Daphnia pulex: one gene and its partners. The main gene of each other region encodes a partner of the protein of the gene in region 5 in a complex. Links are inferred from orthologs where the notes say so. Each region holds a gene or a part of one and is shown on either strand. Other genes may lie near its edges.

What was found. Proteins that work in one complex are often made in the same cells at the same time.
Region 1: puff-specific protein Bx42-like (region 5) and cysteine-rich PDZ-binding protein-like share a complex: the UniProt entries of both Homo sapiens proteins name them as parts of the minor spliceosome. The link is inferred for Daphnia pulex from reciprocal best matches to the Homo sapiens genes SNW1 and CRIPT.
Region 2: puff-specific protein Bx42-like (region 5) and RING-type E3 ubiquitin-protein ligase PPIL2-like share a complex: the UniProt entries of both Homo sapiens proteins name them as parts of the minor spliceosome. The link is inferred for Daphnia pulex from reciprocal best matches to the Homo sapiens genes SNW1 and PPIL2.
Region 3: puff-specific protein Bx42-like (region 5) and spliceosome-associated protein CWC15 homolog share a complex: the UniProt entries of both Homo sapiens proteins name them as parts of the minor spliceosome. The link is inferred for Daphnia pulex from reciprocal best matches to the Homo sapiens genes SNW1 and CWC15.
Region 4: puff-specific protein Bx42-like (region 5) and BUD13 homolog share a complex: the UniProt entries of both Homo sapiens proteins name them as parts of the minor spliceosome. The link is inferred for Daphnia pulex from reciprocal best matches to the Homo sapiens genes SNW1 and BUD13.
Region 6: puff-specific protein Bx42-like (region 5) and serine/arginine repetitive matrix protein 1-like share a complex: the UniProt entries of both Homo sapiens proteins name them as parts of the minor spliceosome. The link is inferred for Daphnia pulex from reciprocal best matches to the Homo sapiens genes SNW1 and SRRM1.

What each region holds. Positions count from the first base shown.
Region 1 is NC_060021.1:4,590,171-4,592,723, forward strand, and holds cysteine-rich PDZ-binding protein-like, read left to right. Parts: upstream 1-1,456; 5' UTR 1,457-1,576; coding exon 1,577-1,790; intron 1,791-1,864; coding exon 1,865-1,953; 3' UTR 1,954-2,053; downstream 2,054-2,553. UniProt on the Homo sapiens protein: As a component of the minor spliceosome, involved in the splicing of U12-type introns in pre-mRNAs. Involved in the cytoskeletal anchoring of DLG4 in excitatory synapses.
Region 2 is NC_060022.1:781,503-785,789, reverse strand, and holds RING-type E3 ubiquitin-protein ligase PPIL2-like, read right to left. Parts: upstream 2,801-4,287; 5' UTR 2,619-2,800; coding exon 2,587-2,618; intron 2,511-2,586; coding exon 2,291-2,510; intron 2,203-2,290; coding exon 1,893-2,202; intron 1,816-1,892; coding exon 1,670-1,815; intron 1,575-1,669; coding exon 1,451-1,574; intron 1,375-1,450; coding exon 1,226-1,374; intron 1,164-1,225; coding exon 1,012-1,163; intron 949-1,011; coding exon 759-948; intron 699-758; coding exon 556-698; intron 490-555; coding exon 393-489; 3' UTR 322-392; downstream 1-321. Other genes in the region: eIF-2-alpha kinase activator GCN1-like, read right to left, coding at 1-59, 144-158; somatomedin-B and thrombospondin type-1 domain-containing protein-like, read right to left, coding at 3,443-3,657, 3,758-3,834, 3,964-4,093. UniProt on the Homo sapiens protein: Has a ubiquitin-protein ligase activity acting as an E3 ubiquitin protein ligase or as an ubiquitin-ubiquitin ligase promoting elongation of ubiquitin chains on substrates.
Region 3 is NC_060025.1:5,440,217-5,443,209, reverse strand, and holds spliceosome-associated protein CWC15 homolog, read right to left. Parts: upstream 1,666-2,993; 5' UTR 1,430-1,665; coding exon 1,299-1,429; intron 1,242-1,298; coding exon 1,098-1,241; intron 1,011-1,097; coding exon 851-1,010; intron 792-850; coding exon 549-791; 3' UTR 501-548; downstream 1-500. Other genes in the region: cell cycle checkpoint protein RAD17-like, read left to right, coding at 1-15, 81-235; unextended protein-like, read right to left, coding at 2,192-2,464, 2,550-2,842. UniProt on the Homo sapiens protein: Involved in pre-mRNA splicing as component of the spliceosome. Component of the PRP19-CDC5L complex that forms an integral part of the spliceosome and is required for activating pre-mRNA splicing.
Region 4 is NC_060019.1:12,606,282-12,609,942, reverse strand, and holds BUD13 homolog, read right to left. Parts: upstream 2,185-3,661; 5' UTR 2,162-2,184; coding exon 2,049-2,161; intron 1,947-2,048; coding exon 554-1,946; 3' UTR 501-553; downstream 1-500. Other genes in the region: glutamate carboxypeptidase 2-like, read left to right, coding at 2,669-2,729, 2,795-2,915, 2,992-3,283, 3,347-3,469, 3,531-3,661. UniProt on the Homo sapiens protein: Involved in pre-mRNA splicing as component of the activated spliceosome. As a component of the minor spliceosome, involved in the splicing of U12-type introns in pre-mRNAs.
Region 5 is NC_060018.1:216,102-220,178, forward strand, and holds puff-specific protein Bx42-like, read left to right. Parts: upstream 1-1,277; 5' UTR 1,278-1,751; coding exon 1,752-1,768; intron 1,769-1,840; coding exon 1,841-2,461; intron 2,462-2,523; coding exon 2,524-2,722; intron 2,723-2,788; coding exon 2,789-3,105; intron 3,106-3,173; coding exon 3,174-3,452; intron 3,453-3,524; coding exon 3,525-3,726; 3' UTR 3,727-3,861; downstream 3,862-4,077. Other genes in the region: uncharacterized protein LOC124188708, read right to left, coding at 4,014-4,077. UniProt on the Homo sapiens protein: Involved in pre-mRNA splicing as component of the spliceosome. As a component of the minor spliceosome, involved in the splicing of U12-type introns in pre-mRNAs.
Region 6 is NC_060027.1:2,460,234-2,464,283, reverse strand, and holds the start of serine/arginine repetitive matrix protein 1-like, read right to left. Parts: upstream 2,801-4,050; 5' UTR 2,652-2,800; coding exon 2,628-2,651; intron 2,469-2,627; coding exon 2,379-2,468; intron 2,294-2,378; coding exon 2,165-2,293; intron 1,852-2,164; exon of another isoform or gene 1,034-1,851; intron 833-1,033; coding exon 662-832; intron 591-661; coding exon 1-590. Other genes in the region: SH3 domain-containing protein Dlish-like, read left to right, coding at 4,017-4,050. UniProt on the Homo sapiens protein: Part of pre- and post-splicing multiprotein mRNP complexes. As a component of the minor spliceosome, involved in the splicing of U12-type introns in pre-mRNAs. Involved in numerous pre-mRNA processing events.

The sequences.
Region 1 (2,553 bases), on a different chromosome or scaffold from region 5:
GTTATCGCAAAGCAAATTTTAAAAAATCTTCTTGGTGAGGAAAGAATTTTCTTTCACCATGATTTTTTTCAGATTTTAGTAAATTGAACTTTATCCCCAAAGTGCTAGACATAAAGTTTGGAAACATCGGCGCGCTCGCCATATGTTTCCAAGCTAAAGTGTATGCTAGTTAAAAAATCATAAAAAATTGAAATTAATAAATTTTTACTTGAAACTTTTACCAACGGTAGACGACATAGTCGTCTACATTTGGACAAAGTTTCAAATTTTTCTAATGAAACTCTGATTTTTCTCGATTTTTTAAAATAGAAAAATAGAGGGAAGAGAATAGGGGAGAACAAAGGGGTCCGGCGGTTTTCCCTCTTCTATTCTTCCCCCGGGCTAGGATTTCGTCCCTGCGCCACCAAAATAAATCGGAATTGTTTTTTAAAAAATCGGGACAAATCAGAGTTTCATTAGAAAAATTTGAAACTTTGTCCAAATGTAGACGACTATGTCGTCTACCGTTGGTAAAAGTTTCAAGTAAAAATTTATTAATTTCAATTTTTTATGATTTTTTAACTAGCATACACTTTAGCTTGGAAACATATGGCGAGCGCGCCGATGTTTCCAAACTTTATGTCTAGCACTTTGGGGATAAAGTTCAATTTACTAAAATCTGAAAAAAATCATGGTGAAAGAAAATTCTTTCCTCACCAAGAAGATTTTTTAAAATTTGCTTTGCGATAACTCAAACGTGAGTTATCGCGAAAAAAGGGAGACACATTGGCCCGTAAGCCGCCGTGTTAGAAGCGCGGAAACACTCGCCGTGTTTCCAAACTTTGTGAGGGTACTGTATATAATATATTTCGTATCCACGGATATAGCTCCTCTGATTTGATCTATTACACCCCGAAGAGCCATCTCATGAAAATCATGGAAAATCAATTTTATAGCCCACGCACAAATAAAATTCCGTGACGGGCTACCGATGTGGTAGCCTTCAAGTCAACTCTCTTTATTTTTCTTTGATACCTATAATAATGTGCCATCATGTTTGTTTGCCCAGATTCAGGTTTCGGTTTTTTGCCCAGTTTTTTTTTTATGGGGGAATTGGAGACTGCGTTATTTTGACAAGATTAAAAGCGTTAATTTGTTTCAAAATTCGCGCAACCTAAACGGATACATCTCCTACATCTAGCGGTAAAGAATTAAACTCCACCGCAGGTTTTATTATAGCCGTTCTAATGTCGCAATAGTTTTTCCGTTCTAGTTTCGTTTCTAAAATATGGACGTTCTAGTGTCGGGTGGGCGTTCTAGTGACGACGACAGTGATAGTGCCACGACAGATGTCGTGGCAATAGACAGTTTCGACCGTATTGCCACGACATGATGTCGTGGCAATAGATTTAACCATCCCAGTCTTAGAAAAGGTTAAAGCCATCTCTGCTTGTCTATGTGAACTAACTGAAGTTTGCCTTATGATCGCTAGGTGGTAGTTTGCAAAAACAAAGCTTCGACTAGTCGACTCGAATCTAGCTTTGAAGTTTTTTTGTTGATTGACTAAACTAAAAACGCAGTTAAAGCCTGTAGAAAGATGGTGTGCGATAAATGTGAGAAAAAACTGGGTAAAGTTATAACTCCAGACCCATGGAAATCAGGAGCTCGAAATACCACAGAAGGTGGTGGTCGCAAGCTCAATGAAAACAAAGCTCTTACTTCTACAAAAAATCGTTTCAACCCATATACACCGAAATTTGAAGGCTGCAGAATATGTAAACAGAAAGTTCATCAAAATGGATCGTATTATTGTAAGTACCAAAGAATTTATAAGAAAAGAAGCTGAATTGAGTCTAACAAAATTACTGTAATTTGGAATTTACAGGTCAACCTTGTGCTTATAAAAAAGGAATCTGTTCGATGTGTGGAAAGAAAATTATTGACACAAAAAGCTACAAACAATCTTCCACTTGATAATCTGTTGTGTTATGTTGTGTTACAATCTTGTCTATGTCTCCTAATCTTTAAGTGAATGTGACATTGAATGGAATATATGAAATTAAGATGCTTGAAACTCTTTTCGTACTCTAGTGCTTTACTCATGTGAAGTTTGAGACCTTACAATCACTGTAATTATCTTGAGTGGTACTATATTAATTTTTGGTATTAAAATTTGTAAATTTTTCATACCTCAAGTATATGCAGAATATTACCAGTAAATTTTCTTTGTAAATTATCTTATGGCATGGCTAATGGATGGATATGTAAATTATACTCTGAACTCCATCCCTTATTTTGTCAGAGGTAATGCTTAAAAGGTTAAGGACCAAAGGTTAATCTCCTTTGAACAATTAAACTTAGACTGAGAATTGTTTTTTTTATGAGCTCAATAATCAATAAACACAGCGAATGATGTCGTTCTATGCAATTTAGCATTAGAATTAAACATGCTGTTTACATATATATACTAATTCCAGAAAATTTGCAGTACTTTTTACTTGTTGGCTAAGTCCATGCTAAGCAATAACAAACAAAAAATATTACTTGTAAGGCGTTATACGATATATTTCGAGA
Region 2 (4,287 bases), on a different chromosome or scaffold from region 5:
CGTTCGAGATAGCTGGCTGATTGTACCCTCAAGGGTAAATCTTTCAGCGCTTTCGCTAACTAGAAAACAAATCACCAAAAGACATTGATTATTGAACGCGTAATTTAACAAATTATTATTTATCATAAATGTGGTTTGCTTACCGGTTTGTCATCCATCGTGTGTCGTTTTGGCAGACGAGAGGACAATGCTGCGTTGCCGTCGCATATAAAAAAAAGTCAGTAAAATTGTGAACCCTTCCTTCCCCTTTTTCGATTTTTATTTTTAATTGCTACAGAATTATTGAGTAAAAAAAATGACATACAATTTGATAAGAACAAGTGTTCGAGAAAGAGTTTATTTTTAAAAAATCAGCCACAAGTAAGCAAAGAATAATCCAATATCCGGGAAGGTCACCAATTACTGAAATTACCAAATGAATAGTTAGCAGATGTTTTAGCTTTTTTATGTTGAGAACTGCCGGATTCTTCTCCAGCCGAATCAGCTGGTCTATAAAAAAAAATAATAATAAGCTGCAATGAAACTATTTTATTTAATAGAAAATTAAAGATATACTTGTTGGTGAAAGCTTTAGGGTTGATGTATTTTCCTACACCAGATTGTTTGAAAACCTTAAGCTGGGCTTTAGGGATGGAAGCCTTTGCTTCCTTCAACTGTCTCTCAGCTTCTTCTAGCGCTGCGGCTCTCTCAATCACCAACTAAAATGTAAAAACAAAAGTAAATTTTGCTTCTAAGGTTGAATTGATTTTCTCGGCAACCTTTTCGTCTACTTCGGCATATGGGTCTGTAAATATCTGTGACGACTCAATAATAATCTCTTCTACGGGTCGATCTTTATTGTCAGTACCAATTCGTTCCATAGCGCTCAAAGTTTCCATTCCACCCACGACACGACCGAATATTGTGTGCTTTCCGTCCAGATGTTTACACGAGCGATAGGTGATAAAACTGAAAGAGTAATAATCAAATTGATGCGTAATGTATGCATAGAACTAGATAATTTAAACGTACAACTGAGATTTATTAGTGTTGGTTCCCGAGTTCGCCATCGATAAAATACCCCGACCGGTGTGGGATAGATTCGGCTTAAATTCATCTTCAAATGATCCTCCCCAGCAAGACTCTCCTCCGGTACCAGTTCCAGTGGGATCGCCACCTTGAATCTGGAAAATTTTTGTTAGGAAATCTCTGTAACAGCCCGTGATCACGTTGAGATCTACAGTACCATGAAATGCTTGATAGACCGATGAAACTTGGTGTTGTTGTAGTAGCCTTTTTTGCACAGGTTGACGAAATTTTCACACGTTTTAGGTACCATTTCACAATGTAACTCTAAATTAAGAGGCCCGACATTTGTAACTAGTCTAACATAACCTAAGAAATTAAATTGATGAAATAAAAACAAATTTAGATGGTTTGTGAAGAATTCATTACAAGAAACTACTTTAACCTTTTTTCTTAATGCGCTGATATCGAACGATACTTTCATCGAGAATTGCTGGTTCATGCTTAGTTTCTGGTGCCATCACCGTAGAAGTAAAACCAGCAGCGACAGCCCCGGTGGAATAATGAGCCTGATAGTTTTTTTTTGTTTTATAAACAAGTTATAAAAACGAAAATAATAATAAATAAAAGGGATAAATTTAAAACTTTAACTGAATCAAATTACCGCATTAATGGAATCAGCTACTGCTTTTACAGTTACAGTCTCTTCAGGTGCCTTGTATTCCTGTTCTAATTCTGCCAAAACTCCCTTCGTTTCTGCATTGATGTATTTGAGACGGGCTGCAGGATCGGTTTTGGCCCTTATTAATTCTAGTAGAGAGAATCATATTTATGAAAGCAAATCAATTGGCGTTGTTAAGTCTATAATCAATAAGACAACAAATTACCTTCATTTTCGATTTTTTGGTCATGCGTTACATGATAAAATTTAGCGATGTTAAACTTTTCTAGGTGAGATGGGTCTTGAAGAGTGATAATGTCTTGACGAGCAAATGTTTCATCTGTTAACAACTCTTTCCAGTTTTTGGGCTTCAGATTGAGTTGCTCTACTGCCTCATAGGAGAACACATTTCCAGTAGTTCTGATGGCCACAATGTGGGATTTGTCTGTGAACTGCTTGAACAATACAGGGCAATGGTATGCCCCTTCAGCATTTTTATGATAATTTAACCTCAGAAGGGCTTTGCTTTCCAATGGCTAGAAAAATTAAATTCTCATAAACATGCCTTTCTAGTTCAAGTTTATCGGATGAAGCAAACATGCAATACCCATAAGCAAAACTTACTTTTCCTGTTACTGGATTAGTTTTATACTTTTTCAAGTATGGAACTATAGCAAGAAGGTCGAAAACATTTCCTTCAGTGTCACACAAAGGATTCTCAAAAAGCTGAAGTGACAAGGCACAGTGATCATATGGAAGTCGTCGAAATGAAGCACTGGCACTATTTGGATTAACAGGCTTCTTCCCACCATACAATGTGCTCCACTCTGTACTTGTCAAGTACCTAAATATAAGATAGTAAACTAGTTAGTGTTTTCATACTAAACATATCATTCAAATTGAAATATCTTAGAACTTGCATTTTATCTTTCTGGTGTTGTCGTTTTCCCATTTTCAGATAGTTTTCACGCTTTGATGAAGAAAAACAGTATCAAAGTTCTCTGTGAAATACACAAATTAAAATCGAGCAAACTTTTTTCAGTTTATGGAATAGAACGCCAAACGACTAATAAACCGACTTGTTGTTTTGGCACACTGTCTTGAACGTCGTCTGCTTACCCTTCAAGCTTCAACCGCTCGACTTAAACTTTTAAACTTTTTGTCTTTTTATAACGATTATTGAATTGTTCTACCATTTAAAAAAAAATTTTATGTACGAAAAATAACATCCAACGATCACATCATCAAGAATTTCATTGGCCAAATTAAATGATGAAATATTGGTCGTTGGACGTTCAGCCACTAGGGGGCCAGGATCGACCTTCATAAAAGCCTCAAAATGATTCGAGATAAGATAATTAAGAGGAACCATTCAAAGAAGACGGCTAAGCCTAAGCGATATGAAAGTCAACAATGCATAATAATTGCTAGACTCCACTATAGACTAGGCAGCTGACAGCAAACAAAAGATTAAGTGAATAAATTGGTTCTATGGAAATTTCCCTTTCTGTGTATTTTCACACTCGCATTAAACTCGATGGGTGGGTCGACAGTTAATTTTTTTGTTCTAGCTTTCGCTCGTTTCATTCGCGTTTTTTTTAATTAAACCACCCTCAGATCGAATATTTTAGGTAAAAAAAAAGAATGATTCGAAAGACAAAGAAAAAAAAATAGAAATAATTAATGTGGTAGCATAACAAATTTAAGGAGATTTTGTTTAAAATTGATCTTCTTCCTTGTTCGTTTCCTTATAGTTTGCGTCTCTTGTGTTGAGACCTAAACGAAAATTAACAGAGCGTCCTCGTCGCACGAACAAGTCGAGCTGGAAACCTCGTGAGATTCATCCGGACGTCTGAGCCATTTGCCATGGCACTCGACGTTGGTCAGCGATGTCCAGCGTGTAATTCTACCCGGCACTCCGTGACCACCGCAACGGCCTCCCAAATAGTCACGAGTAGCCTTGTGTTCACATCGAACACAGACGACGCCGCCTAAACCACGAAAAGGAATAAAATAAAATAAATGTATCAAAACACAATTTTTGAAAAATGATATTTCCATCCGGATATTATTATTCCGGAAGTCAATTACCGTCAGTAAGAGAGTTGAACACTTTCTCTTTGTGGCAGGCCTTGGACACTTTGGTCAGCTCGAATGTCACGCAGTAACTGAATAAAGACGGAAGTGTTATTGCAACATGTATGCGCCAATTTTCAACGTCCAATTGAAGAGCAATCATTGGTGTCGAAAATTTCTTAAATTTTGTGGCTTGATTGTTTATAGGTATGTATCCTCACTCGTTGGTGGAACCTTCCGGGTGCTCCTGGGCGAGCTCAGCGTTGCGGAAGCGCAGATTCTTGCGGATGTCGTGGCTGTCGTTCATCCGGCGGCTGGCACCAAACGAAGCCGGTAACAGCATAGCCATTTCTGTCCGTGACGTCCAACAATAGAAAAAACAAAAAAAGTTTAAAATGTTAGTTAAGAAAATGTTGGAACAATAGCCGCGGTAACTATTATATGACAGGTATACTCCATTGACAGAATTTTCCGGTTCATTTGTATTCTTGACCCAAACTTATTATGATTTCCCCCTTATTATTCTCGGCCCGTCTGACACCCAC
Region 3 (2,993 bases), on a different chromosome or scaffold from region 5:
CTAAAATAACAGACGGTGAGATCTCATTTCTCTTTATTTTTAAATATCTTATTATTATTCATTTAATTAAATTGATACAGGGTTAAAATCAACATCAGGCCAGCTTAATTACCACCAGTTTCAAGTTAGTCAATCCACTGATTTTTCAGCAAATGTAGTGGACTCCGTAAACTCGAATGGTAAAAAGGATCGGGACGAGGACGCTGATATCATCATCGAAGATTATGACGACTAGAGTCGTCACGTCGCGATAATAAAGAGATCGAGGTTTTTTTTTATTGTAATGTCAACAATTTCTAATATTTAGAATTATAAAATTCTATTTGATGAACAAAGAGGAATAAATAATTTAAAAATATTTTCTTATATTGTAAGTATGCCAATGAATGAATAAGAAAACTTTTTAAAGGAAAAATTGGTATACTGAATTAAAGTGTCTTTAGTCCTTTACAGACGATTAACGAATCAGCCACAAAAAAAAATTTTACAAATAAACTTAGTAATTAAGACAGGAAATGTATTTAATCAAATGCATGGAACATAAAAAATTATTTAATATACTTGTCCATGAATTTCTTATGAAATTCAGACCGAAGTGAATCATTAATAAAAGTGATTTCTTTCCTTTCCGGCTCAGCACGGGAACAATTTTTGAAGACAACATCGTCATCCCATCGTCGTTTGACACGCAAGTCAGATTTCTGAGGTTTCCCAGCGTAATTTAACAATGGATTTCCGCTTAAAATATTTTCCATTCTGATACGTTCCTCTTCTTGTCTCTGTTCCATTTCCTGAAAAACAAGCAATTTGTGTATTTGACAAACAAGAGCATCTAAGTCAATGATAATACCTTTTTGGCCAATTCAGATGCTCGTTCACCCTTTATTCTCTGAAGCTCTGCCATTAATTCAGCAGTGTCATCTTCATCTTCTTCATCAACACTGTCATCACTTTCGTCTTCAATGGGATCATCTGCATCCAAGCTACTAGGATCAACACGTAATTTCTTCCTGCAAAGTGTTAACACATTCTTTAATCCCATAACTGAAATAGTTTGTAGAGATAGGGAAAAAAAGTTAAATGTTTTTCAGACTTACTGGGAAGATACTGACGAAGCTGATTTAACAGCCCTATCTCTGTCTTTGCGATCTCCTTTTTCCTTATGAGATTTTTCCCGTTCTTCTAGATCTCTTTTTAGATCCTTGTTGCGAATTTCCTCTGATGATCCCTGACCAATATCCCTATCAAAAGAAATAAAATTAGAATGTCAGAATTTTTGAATTAAATTTAAATTTTACCTGTATTTTAGTTTAGTATGTGATGCAAGATCTCGACTCGAATATTGCTTACTCATAGAACTGAGAGACGTTTCTCCCCTGCCTTGTCCTCCAGTAGCAGGGGCAAATGTTGGTCGCGAAGCAGTTGTCATTTTCTAACGATTTTTCAATTACTGTGGAAAATGCTACTTGTACTTGGCTTTGATGAAAGAGTTGCTCTGTTGTATCCGACTCTTGAAAACCTCCAAAGTTACTAAACGCTTTTCCCCCAACACAATTAAAATCAACTAATCAAGGACACACGACAGAAGTTGGATTCTTACTCGAGAATCTCGAGTCGAGATGCAACTCATGCAAGAAGCAGAAGAAGCAGGTTGATAGTTCTTCGTTTTCAATGTGGTGTCGCTAGTGTCGATTTTTATGCTCCTCCCCCGATTTGATCAGAAAACCCGCGAAATTTTGTTAATTAAAAAAAGTACGAAATAGGTTACTTTGTTTCACCTCACATAACTGGTTTCCTACATTTCCACACACGATTTATGTTACGCAATTACAGTACATTAAAGGAATACATATGTTTGTGGTTTATTTTTAATAACCAATAAAAAAATCGACTGTGTGAATGTGTTGACAATGAAAGTTCTAGATTTTCAATCACTACTAAAACAAATTTAGATTGATAAAACAACAAACCATAGTAGTGCGCATCGTCTTGCACCTTCCCTTTTCTACATTATTATTTTATCAACGGGAATGTCAAGAAGTGGTACCACATTTATAGGATGCATCCACATTAATCGTTCTCCGACAATTTCACTAATATTTGAGCGCGCCAGCGGTTGTAGACGAACTATTTGTTCAACTGTTTTCCCAGTTTTCATCAAATATTTCACTAAATCGAATTATCCAAGGAATTATCGATCAGAACGGTGTGGAAAAGAGTAATTTCCAGTATCATTTTGATGATTAATGATGGTCTGGGGTGAACAACTACTGAAAACGTCATTTCTTTTGTATCGACTATCGACCACACAAACATTTGGGGTACTAGGTAATGAACTACCTCGTGAACTACTTAGTAGGCTTTCTTTTTCCGGATCAGATCTAGTCAGGAGGCAGTTAGAATTACAACGAGAACTGTCAGGTTGTAACTCAATAGGTGAAAACCCGTTCGTCAAATTTACAGACTAAAATGCAATTTAAAAAAAAAATTGGGTTAGTCACAATATTTATCATCTACATAAAAGTAATTCAGTTGCAGGAATCCCATACCGTATCAGAATCTTCTCTGCTAGACATGAAAGCAGATTCGCATTCCGTCATTCGTGGCACAACTTCACGCTGTACCCGCTCTAGGACGGTAGCACTTCTGACTGCTTGGTACAGGGATCGGCTCATGTGAAAATACACTAGATCACTGACCGCACGAACAGTATAATCAACAACAAACGCCTGTCCACGTGCAGCTTTGCTTCCATTATCGCCAATGTCGAATTCATCGATGATTGGAGAGTGAATTGATTGTACGCTGCCATGAAAGAACTGGTTGGCAAATGACGATTCTCCTGATACATAATAACATTAAACCATTGGTGAAATCGCCATGCAGTAAAGTTATTAAACCCCCTACAATATATAGCTCATCTTTTGCCATGTTATAGTTAAAAGCAATAGTACCCATCCCAATATTTCAACAGAGAATAACGTTAATGAAAT
Region 4 (3,661 bases), on a different chromosome or scaffold from region 5:
TAGACAACACGGACAACAGGGCACACCTGAAAACGGCCGGCCCACTTCGTGCCGTGACCTTCCTCCCTTCTCTTTCGACACACTCAGCCAAAGCGCCATCTGGCCATAGCGCACTCGACACACTCAACAGAAACGACCCCAACGCCTTTTCTTTCTTTTCTTTTTCTGCTGCTGAACAACAGAAGAAAAATGATTTGAAGGCAGCCAAGGCCGGAAAGGGTGTCATCTTCCGGATAGAATTTTCCGATTCAACCACGACGGACGATTCATGAATAGCCGCACCTCCTCTACAACATGGGTTGGGCAACTTTCACGAACTGCTGGTAGAGTCGCGACTCGGAAAATGTGCAAAGTGTTGACGCCATCCGCATGGAATTTCCTCCGCGCGCCTCTCGTTGAATCTGAAAAAAACCCTGCAATTTTGAATGTTGATGGATGGGCCCCATTCCGTCGAGGTAATAAAAAGGGAAATGTTAAGAACAAGGACAGGCGTCATTGGCTACTAAAAGTAATTGCATGGCTTTATTCAGTCAAGGTAAATTCATCATCGGAATCACATGTCGGATACACTCCATTTGTAGGCTTCCTCCTGAAGGGCCACGGCGTTGTTTTGTTTTTCAAAGTACATCTTCTCGTAGCCAGTCGAGCGGTCAACCCCGTCCCATCTGTAGCCGGGTAGTATACCGAAACGATTGGGAGCAGCAGCAGGGCCCCTGTAGACAGGTCTAGCGGCTTTCCCCTTGCCGTCACCACCGCTCTTGACCTTTTTCTTGGCCATGTAAGCAGCCATGGGATCACCTTCACGATCTTGTTCGCGTAACAACCTTTCCAAATCTTCGTCATCGGCGAAACGAGCCAGCGGTTTGGACATTTCGTGAATGGCTTCGGCAACTTGCGTCGAATGCGTTTCTCCTTGTTTAAGACCCTTGTTCCATTTTTGGTAAGCTTCTTGCAGCTTGGCAATCTTCTCGGCTTTTTCTTTATCAACCTGTTGCTTGGCTTCAATTTGGCGCAGCTTGCCAGCTCGGATGGCAGTCGTGGCGTTCTGCCCAGTGAGTGATTTGTCCATTTTGCGGAAGGCTTCCTCTTCTCTCTTGCGTAATGCATCAGTCTCCTCACGCAAAGCTCTGCCAGTCTGAAGGCCGGCCATCTTTCCATCTAGGGTTTTGGTCAGTTTCTCCGAAGCTCCTCCGCTGCGTGATGTTGATTTATTAGGACGCTCAGGGCTGAGGTCTCCGTCTGGATCTGGTTTGATGCGCATTTGGGCACCGGAATCAACGTTTTTCTTCCGCCGCGGAGGACTGAGATCACCGTCAGCATTTTGATGCTTTCTTGGTGGACTCTGGTCGGAATCGGAGCCTTTACGCCTTCTTAATGGACTTTGGTCCGAGTCTGAATCGTGTCGCTTTCGTTGTGGGCTTTGATCCGAGTCTTTCCTTGTTCTTCGAGGAGGACTAGCATCTGAGTCTGAATCGTGACGTTTTCGTGGTGGGCTTTGATCAGAGTCTTTTCTCGTTCTTCTAAGTGGAGATGGATCAGAGTCTGAATCATGGCGCTTTCTTCTAGGTGGGCTGGCATCTGAATCAGAATCGTGTCTTCTACGTGGAGGACTGGGATCTGAATCTGAATCATGTCTTTCTTTCTTCACTGTGATTGGTCGTTTCAAGGCAGTGGAATCTTTCCTTGGTAAGTGACTGTCACTTGAATCAATATCTCGATCACTTGATTTAGACATGGATTTTGGTTTGTCATTTTCATCCACACCAAGTCTCTTCCACTTTGAACTTTCCACAAAGTCTTGTTTGGTTATCATTTCTATGGAACGATTATCGACAACCCCAGCCACCAGAGGAGCATCTTCTTGGTTGTCAATTTGGTCTTCATCTTTCTCGTATCCTGCAGCTATCTTCCTCAAATCTATTTCTTCATCAACGATCTTGATGCCCCTAATAAGTAAATGAAAACAAATTGACTAGATTAAGAAAAAGCTTAAGTTAAAATTAAAAAATGATGTGTATTGTCTAAAGTTCACAAAAAGCCTGACTTACCCTTTGGCTTTCAGTAAGGGCCTGAGTTTCTTTTTCTTGACTTTATTTTCTTCTTTTTTCGAAGAGGACATGTACTTTTTCAGATATTCTAATTTGCTCATAGGAGCACTCATTTTTACAATAATTTCAGGGGAATATTTACAAACCGTAATCCCTCGCGTTTGTCAACGCTTTCACACGAAATATGAATACAAGCTCCACCTATGGTTAACGCGTGAAACTATACACCATCTATCGGGAAGTTTTCAAAATAAAAAAAATTGTTTAAAAAAAATAGATTTATGTAATAGCGATTTTAAAGAAATGTATTCATTGCCTATGGCGTTTACATTTTTTACAAGAGTCACCCGTCAGTTAAGCATGCGACCTGTCTTGTGTTAAACCACAAGCAACCGATGGTCTGGTTGGCTTGTCAAATCACCTTAGTTACTGTCCAGGTATTTGCGTGCCGCTGCATATGGAACACGCAATCTCGAACCCGACTTTCTACCCGCACTTCCCGTGCTTTCATTGTCATATTTTCAGCTATTTAATAACCTGTTTCTTTTCAAACCGTCGTTATTATTTGAGGTACAGTAAACGAGAACGGAAGGGTGTGGAGAAGTGATCGCAGCGAAACGATGGCGCAAAAACCCAACTGGATTTTAATTTGCACGGCTTCTGTAATTTGTCTTATCATAGGTATCGTAATCATTTGAAATGTTACTGTATGTGTTGGTTTGACTTCATCTTTCCACCTGACAAAGGAATTCTCATCGGTCGTTACGCTATCGGAAATGATAGGGACGACGTGTCGCCTCAGAAGGCGAAAATGTCTGCCACTTTGATGGAGGAGCTCAGTGCATCAAATATTGGCGAATATCTCAAGTAAGTCCAACATCATCGCTAATCAAAAGACAAATTTGATTCATTGTCTAATTAACTCCCAAAATGATTGTCACAGATATTTGAGCAGTATACCGAATTTAGCTGGAACTCCACAGGATTTGGAAGTGGCTAGTTGGGTGCGCGATCGTTTCGTCGAGGGAGGATTAGACGAAGTCCAATTGGTTCCTTACAAGGTGCTGCTTTCCTACCCAGACATGAGCAACCCCAATCAGGTCTCGCTACTCGACTCCAACGGCAAGGTGAACTTCACCACCTCAGGACGTCAGACGCCACTCTTTTCCAGCGAAGAATTCTCTCCGTTAGTTCAACCCAATTTTAACGCTTATTCAGCTAACGGAACTGTCGAGGTGAAATTAAATTTCTATCGTTGTTTTATTGATGACACTTAACTTAATTACACCATTTCATAGGGGGAACTCATTTACGCAAATTATGGTCGGAAACAAGATTTTGAGTACTTGAAATCTCTCGGCATAGACATTCGTGGTCGAATTGTGATTGCTCGATATGGGGCGATTTTTCGTGGCAATATCGTAATCAATTATTTTTAAAAATGTATTGAATTATTACTAACATTTGATATTTGTACTACAGGTGAAATCCGCCGAAGATGGAGGAGCTCTTGGAGTGATACTCTTTTCTGATCCCAAAGATTTCGCCCCGGAAGGGCGCACATCTGTCTATCCCAACACAACGCGACTTCCGGGCATGGCTGTTCAAAGTGG
Region 5 (4,077 bases):
GTCTTAATGAGATGCTCGGTGCTGTTGCGTAATTAACGTGCCTCGGGACCTCAACTATCTCTCTCTCCATGGGCAAATAACTTGAATAATAAACATGACTGCTGCCATGGGCTTATCTGTCAGTAAACTTCACCATCAGCTGCTGCGCCACAAGCACCCCGGTGCCAAATCAAGTTCCCCTTGTGCCAAGGCCTACATAGTATAGTCTGAGCGAGACAAGGCGGCCTATATCGATCGATCCGTCCAAAGAGCCTCAACCAACCCCCACCACCCAGCCAACTGTATTATCGCACAAGGGAAAAGGCGAAACTGCTATACACACACATATATAGTCTTGGATCAAATAGATGATATATATACAGAGGAAGAAGAAGACTTTGATAATGAGACGTGCTGCTGCTGCCGTTCCTTTATTTATTGGAGACCGGCATCAGCACATCTCGTATTGATTTCCTGTTGCAAAGAGAGCAGCCGTCGTCGTCGAAAAGTTCCCAAATCTTGTCCTACAACTGTCTCTCTATTATCGGATGTACTGTATGCATTGTGGATGCATTATAAAGCCCTACGCCGCAAAAGAGATTTATTGGCCCACACATTGAAAGTCGAAACGGAAGGCGGAAGAGAGACGGAGATGAGGCGAGCTCACGGTCACCGCACATCCACATTTATCATTTGTTATGGGACGAGACTCTGAACTGCCTCGCTGATTCGCATCGCTTCAAAATGAGAATCTATTCACTATAGTATATCAAACTCTTACGTTGGCATTTATGGCCACCGGATTTCAGACTGTTAAGCCAGCTATCCGTTGATAAATCAGATGGTGCAACCCTCCCAACGAGAACAGCATTTATTTTTACGACTGTGTCGTCGTCGTGGGATATATTGGCCAAAGTGAAAGTTTTTAAGGTGTTTACTTTTTTCATATGGCGATGCGCTCAGTTCCGCTCGGCGTCCAACTTGTAACACAGAGAGGGTCGATTTCATCAGCGCTCACTTTTACACGTCGGCGTTAATTGCGTTGCATCAAACGAAAAACACAGTGGGCGGCAACTCGTTATATTTTGCCTTGCCATTAGATGTTATTACAAGCAGATTGCAAGAGACGCGAAGTTCCATTAGAGTTGACAAGCGTTCGTATTTCAACTCGGGGCGGGTATGGATTACTTGACTTTCTTATTCTTTTCCACCCACTCTCGACTTTCATCTCATTACCGTAAAAAATGCCAAGAACGGCTGCGAGGAGAAGGAAAAAGGTTGTTGACTGCGCTCTTATTTTTTTATGGAACGGAGAAGAAAAACGTCGGAAGGAATATGAGAGAGAGACTGTAATAAGAAAAGGCGCGCTAACACTCTCATCTCAAGTGCGTCTATTTATTCCGCCCATCATTAAACCTTATTGGATACATCCAACGCAGAGCATACACACACACACGGCGCCACAATCTTGTAAAAAGTTTTCAGGATCGATACGACGTTTTTCCTTTTTTTATATAATTCCCATCACGTCTTGAGCGCCCCATCCCATTGATGGAGACACAATTTTATGTAAACTCTGGATAATTTAATAATATTCTTTTTTTTTTAATTTGTATCGAATAAAATGTCGATGTTGCGAAAAGCCGAAAATATCCCGCATTTTATCTCGCTCTGTTGCGAAGAAACAATCTGACAACGTTGCATCATAAATTATTCTCGAGTTACAATTTTTGTATTTGGCAACATCTTGGTTGAAAGACTCGACTGAAAACATGGCGTCGTTATCAAGGTATAATAATTATTTTTTTGATTTCCTTGTATTTAAACTATGTATTAATTATGGTCATGTTATTTTATACAGTTATCTCCCAGCGCCAACGCAGTTGACGTGGGATCGAGATGTCGAGGAGCAAAAGGAACGTGCTAATCGCCAAACGGCCATCGTGGCCGCCACAAAGGCAATCCCACCATACGGAAATCGCGATTCATGGATGCCTCGAAATGTTTCCGATTTCGGAGATGGAGGTGCTTTTCCCGAAATTCACATGGCCCAATATCCAATGGACATGGGTCGCAAAGACCAGGCTGGACAAAAGTCAAATGCCTTGGCCATCCAACTTGATGCAGAGGGAAAGATCAAATATGATGCTATTGCCAGGCAAGGCCATGGGAAGGACAAACACGTCTACTCCAAATTCACTGATCTCCTGCCTGCTGAAATTACCAATGAGGATGATCCCTCTTTGCACAAGCCCACAGACGATGAAATTGCAGATATAACAGAGAAAACGAGACAAGCCCTGGAAAGAATCACCAATGCCAAAGTAGAAGCAGCTCTTCCAGTCCGTGCCGCAGAGAGAACTGGCCCTGCTCAATTCATTCGCTACACACCAGCACAGCAGGGTGATGAATTCAATTCTGGCGCCAAACAACGCATTATCCGCATGGTTGAAGTACAAAAAGATCCCATGGAACCCCCAAGGTAAATTTTAGAAAAAGTGCCATTTCATTTCATTCCCATATTGACTGATTATTTTTCACTAGGTTCAAAATCAACCAAAAAATCCCCCGTGGTCCACCTTCTCCTCCTGCCCCCGTGTTGCATTCTCCTACACGTAAAGTAACTGTCAAGGAACAACAGGAATGGAAAATTCCGCCTTGCATTTCAAATTGGAAGAACGCTAAAGGTTACACCATTCCTCTTGACAAACGTTTGGCAGCCGATGGTCGAGGACTTCAACAGGTGCCGTCCCTAACGACCTAAAAACGTGTCTTTCCCCAATCAACTAAATGTTGTTGTTTCTCGCAGGTTCACATTAACGAGAAATTCGCGAAATTGGCCGAATCATTGTACATAGCCGATCGAAAGGCCAGAGAGTCGGTTGAACTTCGCGCCCAACTTCAAAAGAAACAAGCGCAAAAAGAAAAGGAAAAGAAGGAAGATACTCTGCGACAGCTGGCGCAGCAAGTCCGCGAAGAGAGAGCAGGTCTGCGACCCGGTGCAGGCGCTGCTGCTGCTCGTGAAGACGACGATGATGCAGCGGAGCGTGACAACTTGAGACAAGAACGGCATCGTGAGCGTCAACGTGAGCGCAACATTGCACGCGCGGCTCCCGGCGATAAAAAGTATTAAACATTTGATTTCCTTTCAACTTTTTCCAGTCAATTAATTAACAATTTCCATTGACGCGTAGATCCAAACTCGATCGCCAACGCGAGCGTGACATTAGTGAGCAGATTGCATTGGGGATGCCTGCTCGAGCTTCTGCAAGTGGCGAGACCATGTACGATCAGCGTTTACTGAACCAAACTCGTGGAATGGACAGTGGATTCGCCGATGATGAGGCCTACAATGTCTACGACAAACCTTGGCGTGAACAAGGAACTCTGTCCAGTAATCTCTATCGTCCGACCAAGAACCTCGATCAAGATTTGTACGGCGACGATTTGGATAAACTTGTCAAGACCAGCAAGTAAGTTGACCTACTTTCAAGGTGCATTGGTTTATGAAGTTGAAACTCATTTTGTTTTTCATTTGTTTACAGGTTTGTACCTGATAAGGAATTTAGCGGAACTGATCGTTCTGGTCCTTCCGGCTCCCGCAGTGGTCCAGTTCAGTTTGAGAAGGAAGAGGATCCTTTCGGCCTCGACAAGTTTTTGACGGACGTCCGCAAGGCCAGTAGCAAACGACCCACTGACGCGGAACGCTCAGACAAGGACAAGGATAAGAGACGGCGTCGAGACTAAATATTGTTTTTCTTTCCGTTGACGATTTCGCAATTTGTTTCATTTTACCTCACACAAAAAAAAATCTTTTTAAAAAAACCACAAAAACAATGATTCCTTTTCTCCAAGACCAGAATACATTTCAAATGAAATGTCTGTGACTAGTTTTATTTATTCATTGATTACGAGACAAAACACTTGATTCAATACTGTAAAGTGACGAAACATTTTGCAAGAATGTACATAATGGTAAATCGAAAATGCAGCAGAAGACTTGAATATCACCAGACAAGTGTAAGTAATAATCATCATGAAAAGAGTCCAGTGGAAAGTCCACGATAAAAACACCTAGCCTCCAGAAGCCTGTGTAGC
Region 6 (4,050 bases), on a different chromosome or scaffold from region 5:
CGACGACGTTCCGCCGACCGGTGTCGAACGGGTGACTTCCTCACGGGCGAACGGCGTGGTGAAGGACGCCGAGGAGAATGATTACGAACAGGTGAACGCCTGGGAGATCTTCGAACGGGCGACCTGCGGACCGGTGACCGACGAACAGGAGATCTGCGGGCTGGGGACCTTCGAACTGGAGATCTCCTAGCGGGAGAGCGGCGAACGGGTGATCGTCTAGCTGGCGAGCGACGAGCGGGAGATCTGCGTGCAGGAGAACGGCGAGCTGGGGAGCGACGAACAGGTGATCGACGTGGAGATCGACGAGGCGAGCGCCTTGCTGGCGATCTGGCAGGTGAGCGACGACGAGGCGGTGGCGACGCCTTGCCTCGATTAGGAGAACGACGCTCCAATGAAGGACGTCGGCCGTCACGACGAGGTGAAGAGCGGGGATTGTCTCCTTCCTTCTTGATCACCCTGTCCTTGTTGGGGCTACGGCTTCTATCTTTGGAAGCTCGTTTGTCAGTACGGTCGTTGCGTTCCTTTTCTCGGTCAGCGCGCCGATCCCGGTCGGCCTTTTTGATTGCTTCCTGGATTCGATCTTGTTCTTCCTGCAAACCAATAAAGACGAAAATGATAGAAACAAAACTAATACCGCGAATTATTTCCGATGGTTGCATACCTTTCTTAATTTGATTTCTTCCTTCTTCTGTGCCATAAAGACCTCCGGAATTCCAGCAGACGATTCTTGGGCAGATAGTAGAAGATCCCACAATTCAGTCATCAGAATCCTGGCATTCTTGCCGTTGAGGAATCCAGTTAAATTGATTTGCATGCGACGAGGGTCAGGGTTCTATAGGTTTTAAGAAAAAAAAAAGACAAATAACAGAAAAATCAAACAACCGAAATGGAAAAGAGATACTTAAGTAAACGGACACAAATAGATTAGGTTTCGGTATGATCTCGGCGGATTAAGCGAGCAATACCTTTCAGGGGTTTGCTCTTTAAAAGGATAAGCTGTTTTACGTAGTTTGTTTTGGTTTGTTATTCTTGCCTGAGAGCTCGACCAGAGTGACAACAGAAAAAAATCTCTTATTTCTTTTTTTCCAATCTGGGCGTTGAGGGAGAACCGAGTTTCCCATCCGTCATAAAAACACCGGCGACTCGGTATCAAAGAGACGACCACGAAGCGAGCGGCACAGGAGTTGTCCTGTCGACTGTACCGCCCAGCTATTGGGTCGTCATCTGACTAGTCCTACTCCTGATGGCTACCCCGGCACCACGATGCGATCGATCAGGTGATTTTTAAAGATGGGATGGTCTGTCGTCATCTATCAGGCAAATCTAGCAGCTTCGACCACGTTAGCGAACGGCACAGGAGTCTTATCTCTGTCGACTGTACCGTCCTGCTTTTTGGGCCGAGACGAAAGGATCTCTTCTTCTCAGCTTCTCAACACGGATTCCTGAGTAGGCCTACTGCGATCAGAGCCCGACTTAACCACACAGGAGTTTTCCCTGTTGTCGACTGTGCGGTTAACTATCAACTGGGGGAGAAGGCGTTGCATTGGCTGGGCGAAAGGCGATCCCAGAATTGCCTCTCATGACTCGATGGTTTAGAACGTGCCGTATTCCATCATTTCGCAGGAGTGAATCCTTCATCGGTCGACTGCGAAACGTTGGAAATCCAAATCCATAGACATCGTGGCCGACGATAAGAGGAATCGTCCACGGAACAGGCCGAAAGGTGAATCAATTCGAAGAGAAGACCTCGAAATAATGCGACCAGGTCTCGGTCGAGAAAGAATCCTTGCATCCATCATGTCAAGGTGGTGTGTGTGACATGGTGACAACAAGGCTTTGATGCAATTCCACATTAAGTCTTCATAACACAGGACCCAAAAGTGTACAAGATATTGAGATGAGCATGAGCACAGACAAAATATAATCAAAGCCATCTGGGTGGTGAAAACTTAAATCATAACTTATCTTTCACATTAAACCAAATTACAAACAAGAACCAGATGCAAAGGAGCTGACGTTCAATCATTCTTAGTATGTGATGGCTATTTCAGCCTGATATTAAAAAAATTGCATAAGATAAACAGCAGAATGATTGGTGAAAAGCTTTGGTGGCAAATGTTTCCCATAAGATAAATCTACACGGCTGAGATTAAAAGGATATTACCTTGTCAGCTTCGAGCTGATTAAAAACATATTCCACCAGGACGTCATCTTCAATTCCTCCCATAAGTTCTGTAATTTTGGTTGTGATCCATGGTTTGATGGTTTCCAACTTAACTTTGCTCATATCCACCTGAATTTTTTAACATGCATTAATGAATATTAACATGTAACTCATATTGATGTTGTTAAAGTTGCACAGGTGATCAATAATTTACCTTTCTAGTCACATTTTCAGCAAATTTGATAGTCTTCAAAAGCTTCTTCTCTTTGTCACTAAATCTATTGTCTTGCTCAGTTGAGGTGCCCTGTTGAAAGAATTCAAATATTACAATGCATCCCATCAGTTAACAAAACAGATTTCACAACTGATGAAGCAAGAATTTTACGACCGAGTTGGCGTGTCGAGATGCTGCAAACAATTCAAGGGAATAATAGTTCTAACTTGGGTAATTATTAACACTTACTCTGAAGAAACCGGCATCAGTCATTGTGAAAGAAAAATACCTCAAATCGAGGTAATTCTATAAAAGTAAAAATAAATGGGAGAATAAAGCCGGGCTAAACTCAAGTCTTAAATGGAGGACCCCTAACTCAATTGATCGCCTTCCCTCTTGTCCCTTCAGTCAGGAAAATGGAAACAGCATTGCCAGTTTAGAAAAATAAATCGACTGCTGCATATGCATAGCGCCAGCTCCTGCCAGCGCTTCTGAAAGAAAAAAAGGACAAAACATATCAAATATGGGTTACGCTACGCATAACTAATTTTCTTCGATGACAAAATCAATTGGACGAATAACGGGAAAATGCCAATCTAAGGTTTCCTCTCAATTTATCGACGCGAAATAATGTATCCCGAAATCATGGCGCGTCCAACCGGTTAATTTGACTATAAGAAAAATGTCGTTTTTTCAGTTGAAGCCAAAATTGCAAGGAACCTGTTTTGTCATTTGATCCTGCGAGTAGGTAGCAAACGGTCACTGCTTATTAAGTAGACTTGAGCTCCTTGAACTCTCTTTGCCTTTATAAAATAACTGTACGACCGGTGCAACTTTGTCCCCAAAGGCTTTTTTTTTTTAAGTGTAATAAGATAACCATCAAAAAGTATAAATCAACCACAGACAGAAATGGTTGAAAAGAAGAAAAAAAAATGAATTAAGAAAATAAAAGGCTTTCTTGTTGGTTGACTGACTACATCCCTTTTAGCTTGAGCTGGCATGCGCGCACCTTTTACGTGACCGCTAGGCTATAAGACGCGGCGGTGTGCACAGGTAAAAAGCGTCTCTTCCTTCCCAAACAAAAAAAACTCCAATCCTCAAGAAAAGGGAAGAAATAAATTAGCAGCAGCAGCAGCAGCAGCGAAAGAAGAAGAAGAAGAGCCCAAAGGTATATAATAATAAAGGTGCATATAGAGGGAAAGAATGTGAATGAAGGAAGAAGAAGAAGAAGAAGGTAAGAAAAAGAGCCCCTGGAGCATAAAGGCAACAAACTGTATTTGAGAAAACCTGGTTGGATGGAATTGGTTAGAGGGGGGATTGGGAGGTAAAGTTGTTGCTTCTTCTTCTTCTTCTTCTTCTTCCCATCTACCAGCAGAGACTGTTTTTCAAGGTGTGCAGTGCCAGTGGGTATTGGCGGAGGCCATGGAACAGAAGCAGAAACCAGGCCTTCTTCCAGGCTGACTCTTTCTGCTGCTGTGTCAATTCTCATTCTCACCTGACGACTGAACATACAACAATCGACATTGCCCTGCTAATTGTGTCAAACAAATTAAACTAATCAAGTGCATTTTACCAATCGATTTCGAGTTAATAGTGCGTGTGTTAGTGTGTGTTGAGTGTCTGGTGCACACCTGAGTCATGGCTTTCTTGTGTCCAGTGAGGATACGCCGAG